Linked DNA regions of Caenorhabditis elegans. The protein of the gene in region 2 interacts with the protein of the main gene of each other region in a pairwise test. Each region holds a gene or a part of one and is shown on either strand. Other genes may lie near its edges.

The links. Proteins that work in one complex are often made in the same cells at the same time.
Region 1: the proteins of nubp-1 (region 2) and oxy-4 interact in a two-hybrid assay, tested with the Caenorhabditis elegans proteins (one large-scale study listed by BioGRID).

The regions. Positions count from the first base shown.
Region 1 is NC_003281.10:5,153,764-5,161,981, forward strand, and holds oxy-4 (putative cytosolic Fe-S cluster assembly factor oxy-4), read right to left. Parts: upstream 5,012-8,218; 5' UTR 5,005-5,011; coding exon 4,936-5,004; intron 4,238-4,935; coding exon 3,427-4,237; intron 3,124-3,426; coding exon of another isoform or gene 3,026-3,123; intron 2,969-3,025; coding exon of another isoform or gene 2,893-2,968; intron 2,842-2,892; coding exon of another isoform or gene 2,671-2,841; intron 2,308-2,670; coding exon 2,202-2,307; intron 2,157-2,201; coding exon 1,769-2,156; 3' UTR 1,697-1,768; downstream 1-1,696. Other genes in the region: grwd-1 (Glutamate-rich WD repeat-containing protein 1), read left to right, coding at 1-45, 94-251, 391-841, 1,018-1,553; T10F2.5 (Trafficking protein particle complex subunit 2-like protein), read right to left, coding at 5,148-5,366, 5,413-5,568, 5,803-5,841; gars-1 (Glycine--tRNA ligase), read right to left, coding at 6,113-6,370, 6,439-6,766, 6,817-7,235, 7,284-7,796, 7,841-8,218. UniProt on the Caenorhabditis elegans protein: Component of the cytosolic iron-sulfur (Fe/S) protein assembly machinery. Required for maturation of extramitochondrial Fe/S proteins.
Region 2 is NC_003279.8:10,044,935-10,050,948, reverse strand, and holds nubp-1 (Cytosolic Fe-S cluster assembly factor NUBP1 homolog), read right to left. Parts: upstream 4,508-6,014; 5' UTR 4,500-4,507; coding exon 4,320-4,499; intron 4,272-4,319; coding exon 3,801-4,271; intron 3,365-3,800; coding exon 3,074-3,364; 3' UTR 2,972-3,073; downstream 1-2,971. Other genes in the region: F10G8.8 (PH domain-containing protein), read left to right, coding at 1-1; F10G8.9 (beta-ketoacyl-[acyl-carrier-protein] synthase I), read right to left, coding at 263-397, 737-953, 1,454-1,894, 2,444-2,862; ercc-1 (ERCC1-like central domain-containing protein), read right to left, coding at 4,779-4,923, 5,255-5,374. UniProt on the Caenorhabditis elegans protein: Component of the cytosolic iron-sulfur (Fe/S) protein assembly (CIA) machinery. Required for maturation of extramitochondrial Fe-S proteins.

The DNA.
Region 1 (8,218 bases), on a different chromosome or scaffold from region 2:
ATTTTGACCCTAGTGCTTACAAACTATTTCATAGTTTCAATTCTGGTGATTCAAACGAAATTGTTTCTAAAATATTTATATTTTATGATTTAGATTGGCCATGCTTGTCGTTTGACGTTGTTAAAGATGGTTTGGGCGAGAACAGAACACAATTCCCTGCCGAATGTTATATTGTCAGTGGAACTCAAGCCGATAAGCCAAGGGATAACGAAATCATTGTGATGGGATTGAAGAATCTTACAACGATGAGGGTTAGTCGGTTTCAAACTTTTTTATTATTTACCTGTTATGAAATTGAAATTCCGGCCAACGTTTAGTTTTAAGCTCAGTAACACAATTGTTAAACTAAAAAAAACAAGGATATCTCTACAATAAAAGTGAGTATTTCAGAAAGAAAAAGAAAACAAAGGCGACGACAGTGACACCTCTGAAGACGAATCCGAAGATGAAGATGCCGAAGAAGAGAAGAAAAGAGAACCAAAAATGCACGCTGTTTCGATTCCTCACTATGGTGGTATTAACCGAATTCGTTCCGATCGTCTTGGTGACAGTACTGTATGTGCTTGCTGGAGTGATCAAGGACGTGTCCAGGTGTGGAATATCACTGATGCATTGAATTATACTCATGGAATGAGCGGAGAGTCGAAGACTGAAGTGCAAAAGATCGATCGACCCTTGTTCACGAATAATGGATCTGGAAAAGAAGGATATGGACTTGCTTGGTCTTCATTAAAAACTGGAGACTTGGCTACTGGTGATATCATCAAAAAGATTTATTTGTGGCAAATGAAGGAAGGAGGACAATGGGCTGTTGGAGCTAATCCATTAACTGGACATAAAAGTAATTTATTTAATTTTGATCTGAAAATTCCAAAAATTGAAATGTGTCTCCTGAATGGCGTTTGAGTGGTTTTTTCTTGAATAGATTGGAAAAAAACAAAAATCTGAATTAAAAACTTGTCTTTGTCGCATAAAAATTTTTGAGCATTTTTCAGTACATATTCCAATATTTTTCAGAGAGTGTCGAAGATCTTGCATGGTCACCAACTGAAACTGGACTTCTTGCTTCATGTTCCGCGGATGGAAGTATCAAACTATGGGATACACGTTCTGCTCCAAAAGATGCCTGCGTCTGTACAGTGCAAAAAGCTCATGAATCCGATGTTAATGTTATTTCGTGGAATCGTCACGAAAACCTCATTGTTTCTGGTGGTGATGACGGAGAGCTGAAAATTTGGTCTTTGAAAACAATCCAATTCGGTCAACCAGTGGCACTCTTCAAGTATCACAATTCACCAATCACTTCAGTCGACTGGCATCCACATGAAACAACGACATTTATGGCTTCCGGTGAAGACGATCAGACAACAATTTGGGATATTGCAACTGAAGCAGATGGACAAACGAATATCGAAGGAGTTCCACCACAGCTGATGTTCGTCCATATGGGTCAGAATGAGGTCAAAGAAGTTCACTGGCATCAACAGATTCCTGGATTGGCTATCAACACTTCAATTGATGGATTTAATGTCTTCAAGACTATTAATATTTAAGATGTCTCCCTGTTATTGCTCCCTGTTTGTTTTTGTTGCTGTTTTTCTCATCTATTCAACATTGTTACTGTTCATTTTTTTTCGTAACTTTTCTGTTAACCAAAAAATGCTTTAAAAATGTCGCGTTTTCGTTGAAAAACAAAAAAAAACATTTTATTCTATAGAATCTAAAAAATTAGGGACTGGGAATGTATCACAAAATATAACAAGAAAATTCACCATTTCAAGACTTGAGCAACATTCGTCTCAACGGGCCTATAGTCCGTAAACAGAAGATTACGGTAGTTTTTATCAAGTTTCTCCCATTCCTCTCGAACTTTTATCCAGGTTTCTTCATCATCTTGTCTGGGTAAATCTTCATATAATGCCTCGACTTTAATCAATTTCTCTTCTCTCTCATCCATTGTCTCGTACCGAATCTGACCTCCACCATTTGCACATCCACCCGGACAAGCCATAATTTCCACGTAATCTGTCTTCTCCTTTTTCGTCTTCATTTTTCGAACCAGATTCTGCACATTTCGAAACCCGTAAACCTTGGCAACTCTTAAAAGAATTTCTCCAGCTTCGGATTCTACAGTCGTGGAGAACATGTTCTTGTTTCTGAAAAAATGAAATATTACATTATTTAAAGTTATTTATTCCTACAGTTTTGATGTTTTTACAATTCCTCCTCCATTTTCCAGCACGAAATCTCGAACAATTCGATCAGCATATCCTCCAGAAGCACCACCATCGTCACCAATAACAGATCCTGAAACATTTCAGTATTGTGTTTTAAGGGAGGCATCTTTTTTTATTTTGTTTCGTTTCTAAAGATTACTGTAGAAAATTTACGATATGTTTTTCAGCTCCTGCTCTGTTCAGTTTCATGTTGTATTTCTCGTAAAATAAATGTTTTCCACAAGTTGGAAAATATGGTTTTGTCGCCAATACCTACCGAGACCCATGGTTGGGAGGCGGAGGCATTGTAGCGCGATTTTAAAAGAACCAACGCCTCGAAAATTTTCAAAAACGGCGAGAGAAAAATATTTGAATTCCCCAAGAGGAATTTCACCACAGCGCGTGCAAAAATGTCTGCATTTGCGCGTGACGGTGTTTGCACAAATTACACCGAATGGTCGAGCTGAAAACACGTGTCCTACAACACGTGAAGAGAAATAAAAAAATCTACACGTAGAAAAGGAGTATTCAAAAGTTTAAAATTTATTCCTCAAGAATAAGAGCTTGAATTCAGTCACTCAAGAAATTGATTGTGTAACTGATCAAGCCTGATTTTTTTTGGGATGTAAGTTTTATTAATTTCTGAGAATTTGACTGAAATTATTTTCAATTTCAGAATATTATTGGCGCAGACTGTTTCTGTTGGGTGCAAAGCGAAGGCTACAAAACCAAAAGCAGCTGCTCCGAAACCGGTAAGTATAAATAAGATTTTATAAGCTGAAGATGTTCTAAAATTGAAATCATTTCAGATAAGCTCAAATCGACAATCTCGAAAGTTGTCCCACCAGCTCGTCCACCATCACGACCAGAAGATTATGAGATCAACTGGGGACCTAAATGCTGTTAATTTTGAATAAAATCGGTTAAAATACAAGTCGTTGTTTTTTTGTCTTTCAGCTCTCAAATCCGCCGCAGCTTCTTTGTTTTTCTCGAATTTTCAAGTGAAAAAGAGGTTTTTATGTCTACAGTGGCGTGCTAAATTCTGTAGAAAAATTCCAGATTTTTGGTAACTTTTGGTATTCTCTACATAAAGTTTTTTTCACTAAAAAATTTGAGGAAACCAAAGGATTTGCGTCGAAATTGGAGAATTTGAGCCTGACTTTAAAGAAATAAAAAAACCACAGAAATTGTTATTTCTTTTCAAATTTACCTTTAGAAAGAGCCGATAACCATTGCTCTTCTTCTGATCTATTTTCAACATCTCCGGCTTCGTCGTTTTCCAATTTGATAATTTCTTCTAACAGTTCAGCAGTACTTATAACACAATCAGTCTCTCGAACATCAGTTCCATCAACTTTAAATTGTTCTCTCGATGCCTCTAATTTCTTATCAAAACATGGCATTACAGCTGCATGGAATACATCACAGGGGCTTAAACCTTCTCTTTTTGCTAGAAATCCTTTGATAATTGCACCACTTATAGCTTGAGGTGATCGAATTTTACTGATTTTAGGGATTAAAAGCTCTCCGTGACTTTTTTCAGCGTAGCACACAAATCCCGGACAAGCAGATGAAAGAAGTGGTCGAGATGTTGATGGAGTTGTTGAAAGTTCTTCATATATTAAAGAATGTGCAAATTTCCGGGCAAATGATGAATCAATTACGTATTTGACACCTAGTCTTCGGAAAAATGAGGCAATTATTTTCGCTACTTCATTTGTTGATTTTCCAATTTTCACAGCAATAGAAGTGATGGCTTGTGGAGAAACAGTGACGACTGAGAGCTTTGAATTTTGAATTCCTTCATAAACTCGTCCAAATGATTGTTCTTCAACAAGAACTGTTTCAGCACTAGTGATACATCCACTACATGCCAGACAATCAGCTAACGAGATTTTAACGGATTTCTTTTCTTCTGTTTTAGAAGATTCTTTGTCTTTTGGTTTTTTGGTACGGATATTCACTTGTGATTCTTCTTTTTTCTTTTCCACAGTTCTCGTTTCCAATGGGATTATGCAGTCCTGAAAAATTGATACAATTTTACAGTAATATTCAAAAAATAAAAGAATTTCTGGTCTCGACACGACAGAAATAAAATGTTTAATGAAAAAGTGTGTGCGCATTCAGAAAGTACAGTAGTGTCCACTCTTTGCAACTTTCACTTATTTTTTGAAAAACTGGTTACACAAAAATAATTTTTTAAAAGGAAACAAGAACAAAAAAACTACCGTACTTCTTAAAGGCGCACGTCGTTTTTATGAATATTTATTTGGCCATGTCGAGACCAGGTACCGTTTTTTTCTTAAATAAAAACTAGCTAAATTAGGCATTTGCATAGATAAAATGTCTCCTCGAGGTGAAGTTTGTATGTATGTATTTATTTTATCTTGGAAATGTTCAGTTTTTGATTGAAATTTTTGACTATAGATTTATTTTAAACATTCAAAATCGCTGGATTATCTTTAATATAACTTGTTTTGGATTTATTTTTATTAAAATTTACCAGAAATTTCAGAATTTCAAAAAAAAAACAATTCCTGACAATACAAAATTGTAAAACGAAATTTAATTTCGAAAAAAATCAGAACATTTTCTGAAACGTTTTTTAAAAATTCGAATTAAAAACAAGAATATAAACTTCTCACAAAGTAGTTATACTTTAACTTTTTAACTTTTGAAACTGGAGAATTAACAGACGTCATTTTTTAAAAAAACTCACCAAATTCGGAGCAATAAAATCCGAAACATTTGAAAGTCGAACGACACCACTGAATCCAGAATCTTCCATAAAACTTCTGGAAATATTTTTAATATTATCTGAATAAGACAATTAAAGATACAGTGACGTCAAAGACGATTGAAAATCATCCATATTCGTAGATTCACAAGAAAAAAACAAAAATTATTTTATTTACAAAATCCGTTTCATTATTATTCACTAATCGAATATAGATCATTGATTCCTTCGTCAAGCCATTTTGATTGCATTGGGGTTCCGATTTCATAAAATGGATTTGAGATAGTATTACAATAATGTCCATGGAATCGTTTGAATATCAATCGAATCTCCTGATCTTTTAATGAAGCTGCTGAAGTTGCGTCAAGAACCAGAATCATACGGACTCCTGTGTTGGTAATGTAGCCGAATGACTGAAAAATGAAGATATAAAGTAGTTTTCAGTCAAATATTCTTTACCCTCCACTTTTGATCATTATAAAGTTGTCCCAAAAACATTTCCGATGCTTTTGTTGATTTCTCATCTACAATATCCAATGAGCAGAATGTGAACATCTCGATTTCAAGCAATTGCTGTGCGTAACGTGGATTCACCGAATCGAATAGACGGGAATTCTGAATTTTTCTTTTACGAGGAGGCAGGACAGGCCGAAATGATCGTCAAAACGCGCTCCACGGTCAATTGAAGACGCTCCGCCCCCAAACGATGGGTCTCGTTAGGTATATGGTGGTAGAACCGTAAAATCAAAAAAACAGGGGCGGAGCATTTCCAATTGGTCGTGGGGCGTATATTCACATCGACCCGTCTTCTTGCTGCAACCGGTTTCGAATTTAAAAAAAAACGCATACCTCTTTAGCATAAATGAAGAATCCGACGACGCCAAGCATACTGAATTTAAAAATTTATTTTTTGTAATACTATTTTTTCTCTATTGAGAATATTAATCATATTCAAGTATTTTTCAGCGATGTTTGATGTACCACACACGTATTCTATGACGGACAGCGTTATAAAATAACTCTCAATTCATTGGTAACCATAAAGAAAACAAAAAAAGCACTCGAAAAGTTGAAACCAGAATAAATAAACGAAAAGAACAATGATTATACTTTGCTGGAAATGTAAAAAGGCAATACAAAAATTTAGATAAACATTCAATTATTCAGTTGCGCTCGCTTCGAATTTTGGATATTTGGCCTGAGCATCGGACCATTGTTGACGGCCAGCGACAAGATCAGAAATGAGTCTTCCGAGTTCTGAGACTTCTAATCGAATCTGTGACATTGTTTCAGCGTGGCGGATGGTGACAGTGAATGGAGTGGTCTTCAATGAATCAAAGTCAACAGTGATTCCGAATGGAATACCAATCTCATCAGTACGTGCGTAACGGCGACCAATGGTGCCGGAGCTGTCATCCTGAAAAAATAAAATTTAAATTTCCCGTTCTAAAAGCACTTTATATCAAAACTATAGTTCAAACTCACCACTTTGTAACTCATCTCAAAGCGTGAGAGTTCCTCCTTAACGGCATCCATAACTGGAATCAATGTGTCATTGGCTGAAATTGGAAGAACTGAGCATTTGATTGGTGCAACTAATGGCTTGAAAGCCAAGAAAGTCCTCTGTTCATCTCCTTCTCTTTGTCTGAACGAGTGCTCGAGAAGAGCATACATAATTCTTCCGATACCATACGATGGTTCAATAACTGATGGAGTAATCTCTTGTACGTGAATCTTTTTCGTGTATTTCTTAATATTCAGATGCTCTGGGGTCAACGCGTAATTCTGGCCGTCCACGCTGAGATTGTACAGCCTGAAAAATTTATTTTTAAATTGTAGAATTATTTCATAATCAAAACTCACTTCTTGGCGAGAAGCTCTTCTTCAAGAGCCGAGACTTGTTCACTGGTGAGTTGTTGGAGCGATGTTTGAATTTTCTTAGCGTCCTTTTTGAAGCTCTTGCCCAGCAAAGCCATGTTGGCTTGTGCCTCGACAAAATTAACATCGACTGGCTCTGGGAGCTTCTTCTCGGCAACCAACTTGACGTTTGTTGCTTTGTAATGTTGTTGGAGATCGTAGCAAGCTCTATCAGCGTTACCAACACATTCGATCCATCCATAAGAGGTCAAGATTTCAGCGTCCCAGCAGTCTTGAGCGTAGTGAGCCATTTCGTTTGATAAATGTTGGCGGAACCGGAGACGACGTCCATCAATACCAACCTTCATGAGGAATTGATGACAACGAGCCATGTAATAACCGAGTGTCTCATTGGCTACAGTTTTCTATAAGATTTAAAAATTGGATAAACTTTTGAAAAATGAGCAACAAACCTTGGCAACAGCCTCGCCAATAGCAACTTCCTGAGCTGGAGCACCGTCTAATTGATTGCAAGCCGAGAAAAGAACAAGCTTTTGATCAGCAACCTTTGCAAATTTTGCCAAGCTCTTGTCTTCTGGGTCGACAAAATGCTCAATTTCGCACATTGTGAATTCACGAACACGAATGAGACCTTGTCTTGGAGAAATTTCATTTCTGAATCCCAATCCGATTTGTGCAGCAGCGAATGGCAATTTTCCTTGGTTGAACTCCAAAAGTCGTTTGAAATTCACAAAGATTCCTTGAGCGGTTTCTGGTCGAAGGAATGCTTTGAAGTCACCAGTTGGTCCAATTTGAGTTGGGAACATCAAGTTGAATGCGATTGGTTCGGTGAGATCATTTCCAGTGATCGGAGACTTGAAATTGAATCGAGTGATCACTTCATGCATATCCTTATTATCGAATCCTTCAAGACGCGCAAGCACATCCTGTCCGTCTTGTTTGACTGCAGCGCTAGTCTTTTTATCCTGAAAATCGAAATATAGAACGGAAACTTCTTTTGAAAACTTACATTTAACAACTTCTCAATGCTATTCTTGATCAAATGATCAGCACGGAAGCATTCTCCATTCTTCATATCCTTCACCATCCAATCAGCAAATCTGTCAACGTGTCCAGAAGCTTTCAGAACTGGTTCAGGAGTGAGAGAAGTACAGTCAACTTCCAACATGCCCTCTTCAAGAATGAAATGTTTTCTCCATTCTTGGAGCATATTAGCCTTCAAGGAACATCCCATCGGACCGAAATCGTAGAGACCAGTGACACCACCATAGATAGCAAATGATTGATCATAGAAGAATCGTCTTTTGAGAAGATCCTCCAATTTCAGACGATCGAATGATGCTTCTTTTGGTGCCAAAGCAATTTCTGTGTCTTCAAGAAGTCTCTT
Region 2 (6,014 bases):
GATGTCTTTTAGTTGTTTCCTAACCCAATTTTAAGTTTTATTCGATCAAATCGTGTTTCTTCCCCATCCTTTGTTGTAGTCAATTACTAATATTTGAATTCGCTCTCACTCCGGCTAACCATAATTTATCTGTGATATTCGTGTATTTTCTTCTTTTCTTATAATTTTTCAATTGTTCTACTTGTTTCTAGAAAATGTTTGTATGTCTGGTGCTCATATGAAACGATCGAGTACAAATTATAAATTCTTTTTTATACATTTTTCAAAACTGTTTCAAAATAAGACTAGCATTTGTGGCACCGAATCCAAATGAATTACAAATTGAGATTCGCGATTTATTTCCGGAAACATCAGACCATTTTTGATTTTCGCGGAGAAGATTCAATCCATTTCCTTCCTGAAAAAAACACATTTGAAAAAAAAGCTCAAATTCCCATGACGCTAAATATTACGGTACAAGGTCTCGGCACGACAATTTTTTGTTAAATACAAATTGGTGTGAGCCTTTAAAGAGTACTGTAATTTCAAACTTTCAGTGATGTGGACTTTTCATAGTTTTTCTGATTTTATTTTCTTTATTTGATAAATAAATATCATTCCTTTACGAAAAACTATTGGAAAATTACAAAGCAACATAATTTTGAAATTACCGTACTCTTTAACTGCGTATTTTACAAAAAATCGTTTCGAGACCATGTACTGTATTTTTGGCGTCTGGGTGATACAGTAACCATACATCAGTTTCTTCTAAATTTCGATTCGCTGGTAAAACATCATCATTCATTGCAAAAATCGTTGCAATTGCTTCAACTGATCCAGCTGCACCAAGAAGATGTCCAATATGTCCTTTGACACTGCTCACTGCAATATTTTGTTCTGGAAATACTTGTCGTACAGCTTCTGCTTCTACACTATCCCCATTTGGTGTTGATGTTGCATGAGCATTTACATATCTGGAATATGAGAGGCAATATATTTCGATTTTTTTTGTTGAAAAATTTAATTTTCGATATGTTTTGGTTTTCAAAATCAATCAAGACATTTTTTTAATATATCGAAGTTATCAATTTCAGTTTTTCGATCTTTTCTTTTATTTTTATTTACATGATTTTATTCGTGTAATTAATTTTTTTCGATTTTGTTTTAATTGGAATATTTCAGTAAATACGATTTTCAAAAAAAAAACAATATCGTTTTGCAATGATATGTTTTTCAAAACTTTTTTTTTAATTTTAAAACTATCCAAAATTTGAAATTGTAATATTTTTTGATTTTTTAATTGAAATATTTCAGTTTTCATGATTTTCAAAAGAAAAATAGTTTTGCAATAACATTTTTTAAAATTTTTTTCGATTTCAAAACTATCTAAAATTTAAAAATTTAGTTTTTTTCCAATTTTTAAAAACTCAGTAACTTCAGTAACGCTGTTATTTTGGAAAATAAAAAAACAAACCCAATATCTTTCGGCTCCAAATGTGCATTTCCTATCGCTCTGTTCATTGAAAGAACTGCACCAATTGCAGATGGATCAGGTGTAGAAATATGATAACAATCAGATGATATTCCATATCCAACAACTTCAGCTAAAATCTGTGCTCCACGTGCCTGTGCATCTTCTAGTCGTTCCATAAATACTAATCCAACACCTTCACTCATTACAAATCCAGCTCTTTTCTTATCGAAAGGTCTACTAATATTTGGTTGATCACCTCTTGCCAATGCTCTCATTCTATCAAAACCAGCTAGAGCAATTGGATTGAGAGCACATTCTACAGCTCCTGCCAGAGCTCGTCGAGAATCTCCGTATCGAATAGATCGAAATGAGTTTCCAATGCAATGAAGTCCAGTGGCACATGCAGTTGATGTTGATTCTACTCCTCCACGCATTTTATATCTGAAATGTTAGAGTTTAGGATTGAACTTTACATTGGTTTTTGGAAAAGAAAACAATTAAAAATTTAGTAGCGCCCGGTCGCAAAATTTTGAGCTTTTCAAGCCAAAAATGCGATACCCGGTCTCAACACGACCAAATTTTAGTTAAATACAAAAATGTGTGAGCATTTTACTGAAGATTACTGTAAACTTCAATTTTTTTCATGAAAACTAAAAAAAACAACAAAATTATAAAAACTTAATAAAAAAAAAAAATTTTTTTTAGTATTCCGGAAGTTGAGAATTTACCAAATTTCCGAAATTTTTAAAAAAATTTAAGATTACAGAATTTTTATTTATTTTTCATATTTTTTTAAAATATAGTTAATTTAAAAATAAATATTCTAGTTGAATTGAAAAACTATGAAATTCAATTAAAATTTTGCAGCAACTAGAGACTTTAACTACAGTACCCCTTTAAGGCGCGCGTGTCTTTTCGCAGTGAACATAAATTTGTCGTGTCGAGGCCTTGGAGCGAAAATCGCAAAATATCGCGTTATTAAAAACGAACTTCATTGCAACATATCCAGCTGGAAGATTATTCAAAATTCGCGGAACAAAGTATGGTGACACCCTTCTCGATTGTCCTTCCGACACTTTTTGTGCAGTTTCTCCAATATGTTCTAGATCTGACATACATGTTCCAATATTAACTAATGTTTCATTGTGATCGACATCTTCAGCTTTTGCCTGTTTCAATGCTTCTTCTGATGCAGCTAACACGAACATGCTCGCTTTACTCATTTCTCTTTGTTGTCCAGTGCTCCACCGATCTTCCACCCGTTCTCCAGGAACTGCACCGACGACAAATTTGAGAATTTCATCGTATTTCAAGCCACTTCTTCCCTCGTTCAAACCGTTTCGTAGTGCATTAACGGTAACACCGAATGGTGAAATTGCACCCATCCCTGTTATAACAACACGGTGCATCTCAAAATTTTTATTTATTTTTAATTTCATTTTCCTTTAAATAAAACAATAGCTCTGAAATATTGATGAATTCAAGAATCGCTTTTTAAATGTTCAAACATTATGAGGAAAACATTTAACATTTATTTTTGATGATCTAAAACTCACAACATGGAAACAAATTAGGAATCCTGGAGGAAAAGAAGTAATCAACAATGCAACATACGAAAATTTAAACAAGCTTTGCCTTAACTTTCTCAGCAAGATCCAAAAACGATTTTGCCAGCGTTGAATCTGGATTTGTCTCGAAAAAGTCTTCTCCATTGTCAAGAGCTTTTGCAAGTGCTGGTTCCAATGGGAGTTGAGCTAGAAGCTCAAGATTCGAATCTTTGCACATTTGCTCAGCTCCGCCGGTGGATGTTGGGAAGAGGAGAGTTGTATGAGCACAGTTGGGGCATACGAAACGAGCCATGTTCTCAACAACACCAAGAATCGGGACTTTAGTCTTGACGCAGAAGCTGACCTGAAAATAAATTGTTTATCATAATTCTGAAGATGAAATCAACTAATACAAAGACGCGAAGTTTTGCGATTTTTTCTCCAAAAATACAGTACTCGGTCTCAACACGAAAACTGTTCGTTAAATAAAAACTGGTGTGTGCCTTTAAGAAGTACTGTAATTTCAATTTCTCGCTGCTTCGGAATTTTTGTTATAAAAAAATGCAAGTAAATTGGAAAAAAATTATGGAAATTCCGAAGCAACGAAAGTTTTAAATTACAGTACTTTTTAAAGGCGCACACTTTTCGAATATTACAACAAATTTTTCGTGTTGAGACCGGGTACCGTATATTTGGCGTTAAACTTGCAAAAACTTCGCGTATGTGTAATAACTGACAGTGAGTATCAAAAATTTATTCTGAAAACTCTTTTTCAGGGAAAGTTTCAAATTTAAACTCGCCTCTTTTCTGACATCAAGCAATGAAACTTCTTGCGGAGTACTGACAATCAATGCACCATCCAATGGACCTGCTTGCAATAAGAATTGAACAAGAGAAATATGTTCATCAGATGTTCCTGGAGGTGTATCAATCAGCAAATAATCAACCTCTCCCCAATCGACGTCTTTCAGAAATTGCTTGATCATTCCGTTCTTGCGAGCTCCACGCCAAATCACAGCATCGTTCTTGTCACCGAGCAAGAAAGCAATGCTCATCAGGGTCAGATTTGGCTGAATTCCGACAGGAGTCCATCCATCTGCACTGTTATGAACTTCCTCGTCCTCAACTCCCATCATTCTTGGTTGAGATGGTCCACAAATGTCCACGTCAAGAATTGCAACTTGTTTTGATGGATCAGAGGCAAGGGCTCGAGCAAGATTCGATGTGAGAGTACTTTTACCGACTCCTCCTTTTCCACTGAGAATCAGAATCTGTAAAAGAATTTAACAGCTGAAGAATATTTGATAGTAAAGACTAACCTTATGCTTAATTCTGCTGAACCTATCCTGAATCTTCGGCACATCTGCGTCTGGTGGTGGTCCTTGACCAGTAGCACAAGACCCCTGATTTGGACATCCAGCACATCCTGAAGCCTTACCAGCTCCGGCACTTCCAGTTCCCGGGCATCCGGCGTTAGCGTCGTCAGGTACGTCAGACATTTTTTTTTCTGAAAATCGATTGAACAAGAAATCGATTGAACCATTGAGATAATGTGAAACAAAAAGACGAATAATGAGACAATTTTTTGAAGATAACTGGAATTGATAACGTTTGAAAGATTACAATAGATATGAAAATAAAGAGAAAAAGAGAAAACGATTAATGTGATCTTTGATTTTTATTTACCAGGTGAGTTTGATTCACAGGGAAGATGATGACAATTACGAAATTCAAGTAAATATACAACTCGTCACATTCAAACTTTGAAAGAATATCGATTAATCCTGCTCGTTAGGTGAAATAATTGCATGAAGAAAAGAGTGTAAATTTTTAGCTTTGATTGGTCCGACACCAGGACATGCAGAAATTGATGTTTCGGAAGCTGTTGAAATTGCTTGAAGAGTGCCGAAATGGAATAGAAGACTGAAAAGAAAAAATATTGTTCGAGAGAGAGAGAGAGAGAGAGAGAGAGAGAGAGCGTTCGTGGAGCGCGTTTGCATTATTATTTTTTAAGACACTACAAATTTTCAGGAAACTGAATTCCTAAGATGCTTATTTAAATTAGTCTAACTTTATTTATTTTAACAGAAAGTACAATAAGAGAACACAATAACTAGGTTAAAATTACCAAACAGAAAATTTCAAAACTATATCCAAGTAATCTTGTTCAATTATGAGTCATGACAAGGTACCTTAAGGTATCTTCAACTGATTTTTAGGATAAAATTTCACTTGTGTTTTGTTGTTCTCTTACCGATCCGCATCTGTTTTTGTGATACTTCTAGCCGCGGTCAGAAATCCAATGGCAGCTTCTCGATTTCGTCGGCGTTCATCACTCATCGAACTGTCCCCTCCATCGTCAATCGCCTTTTTTCTGAAAATTAATTTTTATTAATTTTGTTATTTCTCAGAGTAAAAATAATTTCGGAGGTAATCGCTTCGAGACCAGCTACGCTGAGAGCGTATAAGACTTTGAAGTACTGTAACGTTAACGATTTTGGTTTTATTTTACGAGCTATCTAACGAAACGAAAGTTTTTTTGTTTCTACTCTGGAGGAAATACTATACTTTTTAGTTAATTTTTTTCGACAACTCAAACTTATTGCAAATTCAATTTTCTACACAATTTGTGTCAGCTATTCTTAACCCTTCCTTTTCTTTCCGAAAATTCTCCCAATTGTTCATCACTTTTCTAGTTTTCTTTCTACTCGGGGTCTACAAAACCCATAAAATTATCCCAAAGTGCTTCCTTCGCCCACAAATTGCTGTTGCTCTCCCAACGTACATAACACAGAAAACGTTTGTTGAAAATAATAAAAGGACGGCCAGATGGGTGTGACGAAGGATAAGCGCTGGTAGAATGCTCATTTGCTGCTCAGTCAAATTTTTACTTGTGGTCCTAGGTCTCATCATAAAATAAACAAAAAGTCGCACAGATTTTCGAAAATTTTAGCCATCTCTTTTTTGGAAGTTTGTGAGCATTTTACACTGTGTTGATTTACGCAGCGTGTGTA